Linked DNA regions of Xenopus tropicalis. The protein of the gene in region 1 interacts with the protein of each later gene in a pairwise test. Links are inferred from orthologs where the notes say so. Each region holds a gene or a part of one and is shown on either strand. Other genes may lie near its edges.

Region 1 (5,341 bases):
CCCTCTTAAGTAAGATCAGTCAGCAGAGAGTAACATTGCTTGCTATACTATAGGAAGGTCTCTATCTTACAAGAGCAGTAGCAAATTAGATACTCTCTCCCTGTAAAAGGTAATTAAAAATAAAACTGTTTTATTAAAATTGTAATATTGGTGTGCTGATCCTCCTGCTGATATACTGTAAATATATCAACAGTAACTCTGCCGGCACTCATGTTTAACAGATATCCAGTGTGCCTGGGTACAGCCTATGTTGTATAATAATTTAATCAATATAAGGCATAGGTCCATACTTGCTGTCTTAGGAAGCGTGACAACTTTTATTAAGTGCCTTTGTCAAAGTAAAAAAAAAAAGTGTCACTCACCTCCCTTCTTGCCACAGTTTTGTCATGCTTATTAAGACCTTTGAGTGCAGGCCAATGCCGTATATTGATTATATATACATTCATTTCCTGTTGTTACAGGTCATTTAAACACAAAAAGGTTTTTATTTCATATCGCAGACAGAATATTGTGAGCTTGTTTGCTTATGAGTTTATATTTCTTTTCAGATCTAACCTGTGTTTCAAAGGTAAAACTGCATCAATGAAAGAGAATAAGGAGAATTCTAGCCCTTCCACTGCTCCTGCAAGCCTGGACCATGCAAAGCCATGCTGGTATTGGGATAAGAAAGACCTGGCCCATACTCCATCACAGCTGGAGGGGCTTGATCCTGCTACAGAGGCAAGATACCGGAGAGAAGGGGCTCGGTTCATATTTGATGTTGGAACCCGACTAGGGTTGTATCCTTCACTGTAACTTGTCACTTTTCATCTGTATTTTTTTAAAGTATATTTAGAGTAAAATGATATTACATAAGATCTATCAATGACCTGTAAAATATTTACTTCTAAATATTAAATGTGTAATGATGTCCCATGACTTAGTACAGAAACAGTAACAACAAAAAATGAAAATGTATCGAAGTAATTAAAATGTAAACTGTTGCCCTGCACTGGTAAAAGACTGTGTATTTACTTCAGAAACCCTACTGTAGTTCATATAAACAAAACTGCTCTGTAGCTATGGGGGCAGCCATTCAAATTTAAATAGGGATAAATGGCACAGTTTACATAGCAGATAATGGAGAAGCTCTGTATAATACCATTGTATTCTACGTAGCATATCTGTTATCTGCTATATAACCTTTGTTTTTGCTTCCCTTTCCATCTTGAATGGCTGCCCCCATGCTTACACTTCAGCTTATTTATATAAACTAGTAGTGAGAGATCCAGCTGTAGGATGGAACACCCAGATGTGGAATTAATTCAGATTTAGGTTCCTATATGTAATATGCTCCTGGCTTTCTTTCTTAATTAGGTTCCTGTGCTTTAAAGTTTTTTTTTATTTGCAAATTTGGTCCTACACAATCTGACCCCAGCAAGATCATTGGCTTGATAATATTGTGGTGGTATATATTCTTAACTTTCAACATAGACATTATGATACCCTTGCAACTGGAATCATTTATTTTCACCGGTTCTACATGTTTCATTCCTTCAAGCAATTTCCTAGATATGTAAGTATTATATGTATTATGTTGAAATGTATAAAAAGTGATGGGATTAAAGTTTTCGCTTCAAACTGTGGATTTAATTTCTATGTTCTCTACTAAACTGATTGTTTCTAAATCAGATATGCATGACATTGCCCTTTTAATTTTTTTCCAATTTGATATTTTCTGTTTAGTGTTAGTCTGTGAGACTTGCTGCAGAATGTTATTCAGTTTTCCAAAGTACTGCCCTATTTTGCCCAGGTCAAAATCTTTTTTTTTTTTTTTAACTTTTGAAAGGTAATGAAAAACCCTCTCATTCCAGCTCCTTTGCTAAGGAAAGAATGAATCTCCATCTAATTTGCTTGTAACCTGGAGGAGGGGAATCATAAGGGTCTGTTTTAGCTAAGGGTCATGCATTTTGAATGTCTTAGGTATTCTCCTTCTCCTTTAACGGTTTGTCCCCCCCAAATACCGTGCTTTTATTTTTTGCTGCGCAGCTCTTAAGAAATACTGACCAGTTTAGCCAACTTGTCCCCTACTGGTATGCCTAGGTTCTAAAGTAAACTTATATAACTTGGCATAATGGGTAACTATACCAGTTACCCATTATGCCAAGTTATATAATTTTATGTAACAAGTTGTTGAATGATAAAAAACTGCATGATTAATCACTTTTTTAACATTTGGTTTCAGGTGACTGGAGCTTGCTGTCTTTTTCTGGCTGGTAAAGTTGAAGAAACACCTAAGAAATGTAAAGATATTATCAAAACTGCCCGTAGCTTACTAAATGATGTACAATTTGGCCAGTTTGGGGATGATCCTAAGGTATGCTCCTGAAAAATGTGTGAACCATACAGTTCCATGTAATATTTAAATTAATGTAAAAGTGTGAATTGGAATTTTTCAATTGTTACTGATTAACCTAAATAACTTTCAGTAATTCTGCTTTTGGGTTGGTACCTAGAAGTACTCTGTATACATTATACATATCTCCAAGGGCATTACATTGGCATATGTTCTAACAAGCTATCATTGCATAATCTTAAAATCCGTAAAAGGGCACAGGGATTGGGGAGGAAGGGGGTGCATTTATTTATCACTGACTAGGCAGACCCAGGTTTTCTTAGAGATTGCTTTTACAGTGTTTGGAAACTTCAAACCTTGTTACAAGTCTGGATATGTGTAGCTATTTTATTATTAAAAAAAATACTACTTGTACAGCCCCCAGAATAACATACCTTTCTTGCTGCATCTGGATTAATTTAGTTTCTCTATTACAGCCAGTTCAACTATATCTCTTTTTGGTCTTTCCTTGTCTAGTATGAAGCTCTGCTACCTTTTGTTTTCTGAGCACTCCTCTCTCTGACTATCATGACCTCAAAGAGCTGCCTACTGCACATGCCTGATTGATTTTCATTGAAGAAGAGGCACCTCTTAGAGGTCTTTGTAATGCAAAAGGTGGTGGAGCTTCATGCTAGACAAGAAAGTAAGTAAAAGAGCTGCAGTTCAGCTGCTTGTAATAGCATGCAGGAAGAAAATTATGTTAAAAACAATTTCTAATTCACAAACTTAAAAAATTGATAAATAAGCCCATAAATGTACATTGAACATACACACACAAAACATCCAATAAAAGTTAGGGGGCTCTGGCCAAGATGTTAAGGGTAACTGTTCTGACTATTCATTTTACATCTTTTGTAAATTAAACAAATAGTATGCATTTCTCAAAATACACTGTAGAATCTGTTAAATCGAAAACACTTTTAAATATCAAGTTACAGTTTAGCTATTGTGTTGTGACTTTATAAATACTGCTGCTTTTACTATATAGACTTTTCCCTTTTATTACCACAGCATGTCTTTTGTAGCAATAAACCATTATCTTTCAGTAACTGTATTTCTTACCTTATACCAGATAACTCGGTTTGTTCTGCTTTGTAGGAGGAAGTCATGGTCCTTGAGCGAATTCTTCTTCAGACAATAAAGTTTGACCTCCAGGTGGAGCACCCTTACCAGTTCCTTCTTAGATATGCCAAACAGTTAAAAGGTGCGGAGTATGTCCTAAAAGAAGAGCTTTGATTGTAGCCCTTGTGTTACTGCTTATAACATTTTTTTGTACTAATTTATTTAATTTTTTTAGGCGACAAGAACAAAATACAGAAATTGGTTCAAATGGCGTGGACTTTTGTAAATGACAGGTAAAGTACAGTTTATCTATTGCTTTTGAAAAAGGTACTAAAGTCCCAACTACCTTGCTATAGGTTATATTATATAGTGCATTGCTGTACATGCACTCTCCTTGCTTCTCTATAAGTTACAACCTTGATTCCTACAATCCCCAGGATACTCCTGTTTTGACAGTTTCCCCTCTGGTTCCAGGTTATGCAGTTTCATGTGATACCTGTTAATAATACAAAAGCAATATATGATGCAACAGAATCTAAAACTATGTATTTTGTACAGTCATACACAAGACTTTATTCCCCTGTGTACAGTGTAGTAATTAAGGGGTATATTTATTAGTGTTTAAGCCAACACCACAGGAGATGTTGCCCATAGCAACCAATCAGATCTTTGCTTTTGTTTTTATCTTGTAGGTGACCATTCAAATCTAATTGCTGATTAGTTGATATGGGCAACATCACCAATGGTGTTGGCTTACACTTAAATATACACTGCTCAAAAAAATAAAGGGAACACAAAAATAAGACATCCTAGATCGGAATGAATTAAATATTCTTATTAAATACTTCATTCTTTACATAGTTGAATGTGCTGACAACAAAATCACACAAAAATTATCAATGGAAATAAAATTTATCAACCCATGTCTGGATTTGGAGTCACACTCAAAATTAAAGTGGAAAAAAACACTACAGGCTGATCCAACTTTGATGAAATGTCCTTAAAACAAGTGAAAATGAGGCTCAGTGTGTGTGGCCTCCACGTGCCTGTATTACCTCCCTACAATGCCTGGGCATGCTCCTGATGAGGTGGCGGATGGTCTCCTGAGGGATCTCCTTCCAGACCTGGACTTAAAGCATCCACCAACTCCTGTACGAGACATGATGTCCCAGATGTGCTCAATTGGATTCAGGTCTGGGGAACGGGTGGGCCAGTCCATAGCATCAATGCCTTTGTCTTGCAGGAACTGCTGACACACTCCAGCCACATGAGGTCTAGCATTGTCTTGCATTAGGAGGAACCCAGGGCCAACCACACCAGCATATGGTCTCACAAGGGGTCTGAGGATCTCATCTCGGTACCTAATGATAGTCAGGTTAACTTTGGCGAGCACATGGAGGGCTGTGCGGCCCCCCAAAGGAATGCCACCCCACACCATTACTGACCCACTGCCAAACCAGTCACGCTGGAGGATGTTGCAGGCAGCAGAATGTTCTCCAAGGCGTCTCCAGACTCTGTCACATGTGCTCAGTGTGAACCTGCATTCATCTGTGAAGAGCACAGGGTGCCAGTGGCGAATTTGCCAGTGTTGGTGTTCTCTGGCAAATGCAAACGTCCTGCACGGTGTTGGGCTGTAAGCATAACCCCCACCTGTGGACGTCGGATCCTTAAAACACCCTCATGGAGTCTGTTTCTGACCGTTTGAGCAGACACATGCACATTTGTGACGCTTTGGAGGTAATTTTGCAGGGCTCTGGCAGTGCTCCTCCTGTTCCTCCTTGCACAAAGGCTGCTGGGTTGTTGCCCTTCTACGGCCTCCTCCACGTCTCCTGATGTACTGGCCTGTCTCCTGGTAGCGCCTCCATGCTCTGAACACTAAGCTGACAGACACAGCAAACCTTCTTG
Region 2 (5,655 bases), on another chromosome or scaffold:
GTAAAATGGGGAGTGGTTTATTGGAGCTGTGTCTTCAAAAGTGGGCATGGCCTAAAAGTCTTGCTGCAAAGTGAAATTTTTTACCTCCCTCAATCCCCAGATTTCACTCTTGTGAAATCTTGTGACACTACTATAGTTTCATAGCAAAAAACAAATTCAAAGCTGAGGAGGTGGATGGTTGTTATCATCAAGAGTGCCTAGAGCAGCAAAAACTGTAAATATGCCCCTGCTCCTAATTGGACTTCTGGACTGTTGCTTTGATTGTGCTCTGAATTACAGTAAATAGAATGTGATTTTACTTGCTGTACTTTCTTTAGACTTTGCCCTGTTTAGTGCAAGAACTGATGAAAAATACATGCCTTAGTTAAAATAATTGGAAAAAGCCCTATTCATTGAATTAATATTGAAAAAAATGGTATACTGTTCCTTTAAAAACCAAAACCGGTTAAAGAGAAAGAGAGAGGGCAGAACATGGCTAGCGAAATGGAAAAAGTCTATGTAGGGGCCTATACTTACATTATGCTTAAAATAAATCTAATGGTCTTCTTTCTTATATTTATCACACATCTTCCAGATTTCCAACTCTTATTTGCTCTTCTTTGTATTTTTTTTTCTAGATGCATCAATCTTCACACTTAAAGAAATCCAACTACAAAAAGACCCAGGGCACCGTAGCTCCATTTTTCATCATGCAGGTATCAAATCAAAACTGTGTTAAGTAAAAATTACCAACTGGAGCATAAAGAGAACTTGTGCTTAAAAGTAGCCATTTATTTTATACTGTATATAAAAGCTTTGCCTTGTACCAATACTATCCCCTTCCCTTTAGAGTCCTATTTAAAAAACATTGAGGCAGAAACATTTCAGTGGGTTGTGAAAAAAAGTAATTTCTGAAAAGCTTCCATAAGAGTTAGAACTGTTATAGAAATCCTTTACTTTAGCAAAAAAAGTTCCTTTATTTTTTCTTATATTATTATAAAGTCCTTAAAGGAGAATGCAAGTCAAAATTTAAAAAGCATACTGCCTAATAGTCCTCATATTGTTTAGTAAAAACGCCACACTTTTGGCTCACCTAATCAAATATTTACTCAGTCACACTTAGGGCTCTGGCACACGGGGAGATTAGTCGCCCGCGGCAAAACTCCCTGTTCGCAGGTGACTAATCTCCCCGAGTTGCCTACCCCTGCCATCCCACCGGCGAACATGTAAGTCGCCGGCGGGATTGCAGACGCGGCGGGGCGATTTCAGGAAATTGCCGAAAAAGACTCGCGATTTGCGCGAAATCGCGCCGCCGCTTCTGCCATCCCGCCGGCGACTTACATGTTCGCCGGTGAACAGGGAGTTTTGCCGCGGGCGACTAATCTCCCCGTGTGCCAGAGCCCTAACTTCACATTTTCTACAACAGGCAGCCATCTCTAAAAAGGTATTCTCCCTTCCTTTCCCTCCTTGCTTCATACTGCACATGTGTTTCATTCCCTCCCCCCCCCTCCCCTCTGCCAGATTTGCTTCTTATTGGCTGGTGGGCATGTGTAGTTCAGAACAGGAGACAGGATCAAGTTACACACATGCTAAGAGAATAGGAAGGCTGCCGCTGGCAGCCTACAGGAGGGACAGAGAGATGTCAGTGATGTCACTGTAGTCTTCACACTGCTGTAGGCTGCCAGCACCATATCTCAGAGAAGCAAGCAGGGATCTGGGAATTTAGATATGCAGTAAGTACTTAAAAAGAATGCCTTTAGACTTACTTTTAATTTATTTTAACCTGTTATTGTCCTTTAAAGGGTTTCTGTCACAGGAAAAAAATTACTTTTTTAAAAAATGCATCAGTTAGTAGCCCTCCTTCAGCATAGTCCTGCATTGAAACCCATTATTTACATGGATTTTTAAAGCAAACAGATTTCATATTGAAATTTGGCATGGAGCTAGATATGTTCTTAGTTTCCCTGGTGCCCTCGGCCATATCACTTGTGCTCTGCTAAACTTCCTGACACCTCTAGTGGTAGATATGAGAATAGCACTCAATGGTAAAACACCCAACTCTGCCCATGATTCCTTCAGTTACCTTGAGTAGAAGAAACAATAGCTTATCTAAAAATACAGGATCAGGTACAATGACCTAAGGTGGCTGCCCACAAACCAGTATAACAACTAAAAAAAATACATTTATTGGTTCAAGAACACAATTTTAAATGATAGAGATTAAAATTATTTGAAACGTGCACCTGTAATTTAGTAACAAAACTACACCATAAAAATCATGACCCTTAAATTTTTAATAATAGTCTCAGCTGAAGTGCCTACTTTTTTTTGGTGTTACTGTTCCTTTAAGACTGGTGTGCAGTAGGATAGGATTAATTACATGGAGTTTAAAGCAATGTGGCCAGCTAATACCACTTACCATGGATTTTATTATTTAATGTAATTTACATTTAAATGATAGGCTGGTTAACTCGCGATAAATTATATAAAAGTTGAAATGTAATTATCTTTTTATTTACAGCTCGTGGGAAGGCCAGAAGACAGAGCATATTTTAGAGGTGGCGCTGGATGAACAGAGAGCTCCCTGGAGAACCCTGCGCTTGATCCTTCTTCCCAAGACACTACTGCAGTGATACAGTATACACCTTTGAGTATTAGCTAGAACTTGCCCTGCTGCAGTGAGTCTTGTGCCAAATGTAATTAACTGGGTGTAGATGGTCATGTTCAGGGACCAAAGGAGAGTTAAGAGATGAGTTTCTTCTCTTCCAAACCCCACTAAAGCCTTATTTTAATTATATAGATCAAAAAAAGACAGAGTGAAATTACTCAGGGTGGAAATGGTGGTTCATGGTTGGTCCTTTTTGAACAGCAAAAACATTTCTGGGACTTCTAACACTGGATTCACACCACTGAATTCTGTGCTCTCACATTCCACAGATCAAAAATAGTATTAAAATGAACAGCAACACTCCTTCCTTTTTTCACCACAGATCTAAGCCAAGGAGATGGTGGTGTCTTCCGCTCTTAAAATATTTTCTTATTGTATCCTTTTATACCTAAAGATGCATTCCAAATTATATTAACCATATGGTGGAAACAAATAAGGCTGGTGCCTCAAATATATTTTTACAGTTTTATCATTACACAGAAAGGCATACAGGAAGCATGAAAGTAACATAGTGCAGATTCCAGGTGCCATGTTGTGACACAGTGCCACATATCCCATGTAAATTGGTGATAACCTGGGATACTGGGCTATATAGGGATAGCAGCATTTACATGTTTTAACAATTGTTTTTAAATGTGAAAAATAGAAAGATATTGTCTAGCAAATATTTTTCACAAAATGGGAAATGCACACCAACCATCCCACCAAACTTTGCTCTGTGAGGCCTTTATAGTAAAAACATTTTGTGTGTTTGATTCTCTGGTAAGATTGGTACCATGTGAGGTGGGATGATGCTTAAAGTTTTCATATTGCACTATAAGACTTAAAGGTCAGCCCTTGCCATGCATATTGTCCTTGCCACTGAACATTGTGAGCCTGCTGAATTCAGTAACAAAATATGTGACTAATGGTATGCCATTTATTAATTTTATAATGGCATTCATCATACACTGATTGATCAAACCATAACAAAAGGTTACATAGCCACCAAGCCATTATGATTGGTTCCAGATTTGAAACATGAGCTAAAGGTTAAAGTAAAATCTGATGACAGTGAACTTGTTCCACCTACATGTATGTATAACATTATTTATAAAGCTTGACATGGAAATGTAGTGCTGTAAAACAATTACACACAGGTTTGACAAGTATTATAATAAATAAAATAAACAAGTATAAATTTACAGAGAGGTGTTGTGTGATAAGAGACACAGTAGGAAGGAAATCCCTGCCTTGTGATACTACTTTGTTGTAGTAAAGCATATCTAGCATGTTATGAGTAATTCATGTAGAATATTATGTACATCCACATGCCCTAACACTTTACTGTTGGGATTTTTATTATCTGCACATCAGCAGGCTTAAGATTGCTTGAGCCTTGGGGCTAAGGCAATCATATAAAGGATATGCCTTGTGGGTGCCTTTACTTACATGGGGCTTCCTTTATGATTGCTTGAGCCAAAAGACTCAAGCAATCAAAAATCTTCCCCCCATGTATACCACTAATTTTGAATTATTTGTGGAGTTTGAAAAATTATAATATCTAAACTGCACCAAGGCTCTTAGAAGTAAGAAACTATTTTGTAATGATTTAAGGACTCAATTACTATTTGCAGCACAGGATGCAAACTAAAAAAAAACAGAGGGAAAGCCACTTTGCACCCTATCCTGCTGTCTGCACCCAAAGGGTCACTACAAAACTCGGGTTCAGGGTGTAAAGGAGCCCTGTCAGATTTTAAGCCAGTGTGAGGTACAAAGCCCAGGTATGCCCTGGACACACATCTTTTCTGAATGAGCATTAAGGTGCCCCTTGTGCTTTAGCATTTTAGTATTCAAAGCATTAACAATGAGGCCCTTAATTTCATGGCACATTTAACAATTCTGCTCTAAATGTATCTGGAAACAGGGTAAGTCAAATGCTAGGCCCTCTGAGGATTATGTCACATTGGGTGTTTAAGTCAGTTATGTGTCCCTGTAGTAGCAACAAAATGAATCCCTTCAAGTCACTACTCCTTGAAAGTACAGAACAATGTAGCATTTAAAGGTCAACCAAATGTTAAATCACTGGGGATGTACCAATTTGTTGGGCATCCCAACTGACTGAAACTACCAACCATGTGCCCTGGGATGGTGTGCCTCTTCTGTAAATGCACCAGCACAAGCTATTTTGTTTTCACCTTATCTTTAAAATAAGATATAAAACATTACCATGTGGCTCTTTAACTGGCCTGCATTCTGTAGCTTTGTTGCACCTTTTTGATCTTCTCATCTGTTCCTGTATCATGAGAAGAATTTAGCAAAGAGGCACCTGGGTATCTTTATAATATCATCCTGCAAGTTTTCAGTTTGATTTTTCCAAGCAGAAATAGGAATCATATTCCGTACATACAAGTTGCTTATATAACTACTTTATCTACTTTGAAGAAAACATTTCATAAATAACTTCAAATTAAGTTAGAAAATAGTTAATAGAATTTGGGTGCTACAAAGGAGAATGCCTTCTAACACCTAGTGATATGCATTACTTCACCTAAAAATACTGTAGCTGCATTTCTCAAACAAGAAGTCTTTTCCTATTTGTTGTAAAATAATGAACATGTGTATTTTGTATACTGTACATTATAAACAACTTGTATGTTTGCTCTAGTTTTCCTTTAAGATGCAGTGAATTTCAAAATCATTCATGTATGAGTGAACGAAAAGGATTACGCTTCCACAATGTAATAACCTATGCCACTTTCTGTGCCTGACCGATGGAACTGCTGCCTGGTATAGCTTAAGCAGCAGTGTTTTACTGGACTCTTAAGTGTGAGTGTGAATGCACATTTGGAGAGGTATATATATATATATATATATATATATATATATATATATACACATGTATGTGTGATGAATGTAAACACATTTCTCTATAACTAGAAAATAAAGACTCTATATAGAAAAAACATATATATATATTTAAAGTATATATTGAAAAGACTATTAATATAAAAATCTGCTATAGTAAT

What was found. The genes of interacting proteins can lie anywhere in the genome.
Region 2: the proteins of ccnk (region 1) and cdk18 interact in binary tests that used the Homo sapiens proteins (3 or more experiments, as listed by UniProt). The two-hybrid records come from large-scale screens. The link is inferred for Xenopus tropicalis from reciprocal best matches to the Homo sapiens genes CCNK and CDK18.

The regions. Positions count from the first base shown.
Region 1 is NC_030684.2:90,617,424-90,622,764, forward strand, and holds part of ccnk (cyclin-K), read left to right. Parts: intron 1-548; 5' UTR 549-582; coding exon 583-779; intron 780-1,473; coding exon 1,474-1,555; intron 1,556-2,224; coding exon 2,225-2,356; intron 2,357-3,472; coding exon 3,473-3,578; intron 3,579-3,671; coding exon 3,672-3,729; intron 3,730-5,341. UniProt on the Homo sapiens protein: Regulatory subunit of cyclin-dependent kinases that mediates activation of target kinases.
Region 2 is NC_030678.2:73,260,115-73,265,769, forward strand, and holds the end of cdk18 (cyclin-dependent kinase 18), read left to right. Parts: intron 1-617; coding exon 618-695; intron 696-2,500; coding exon 2,501-2,535; 3' UTR 2,536-3,831; downstream 3,832-5,655. UniProt on the Homo sapiens protein: May play a role in signal transduction cascades in terminally differentiated cells.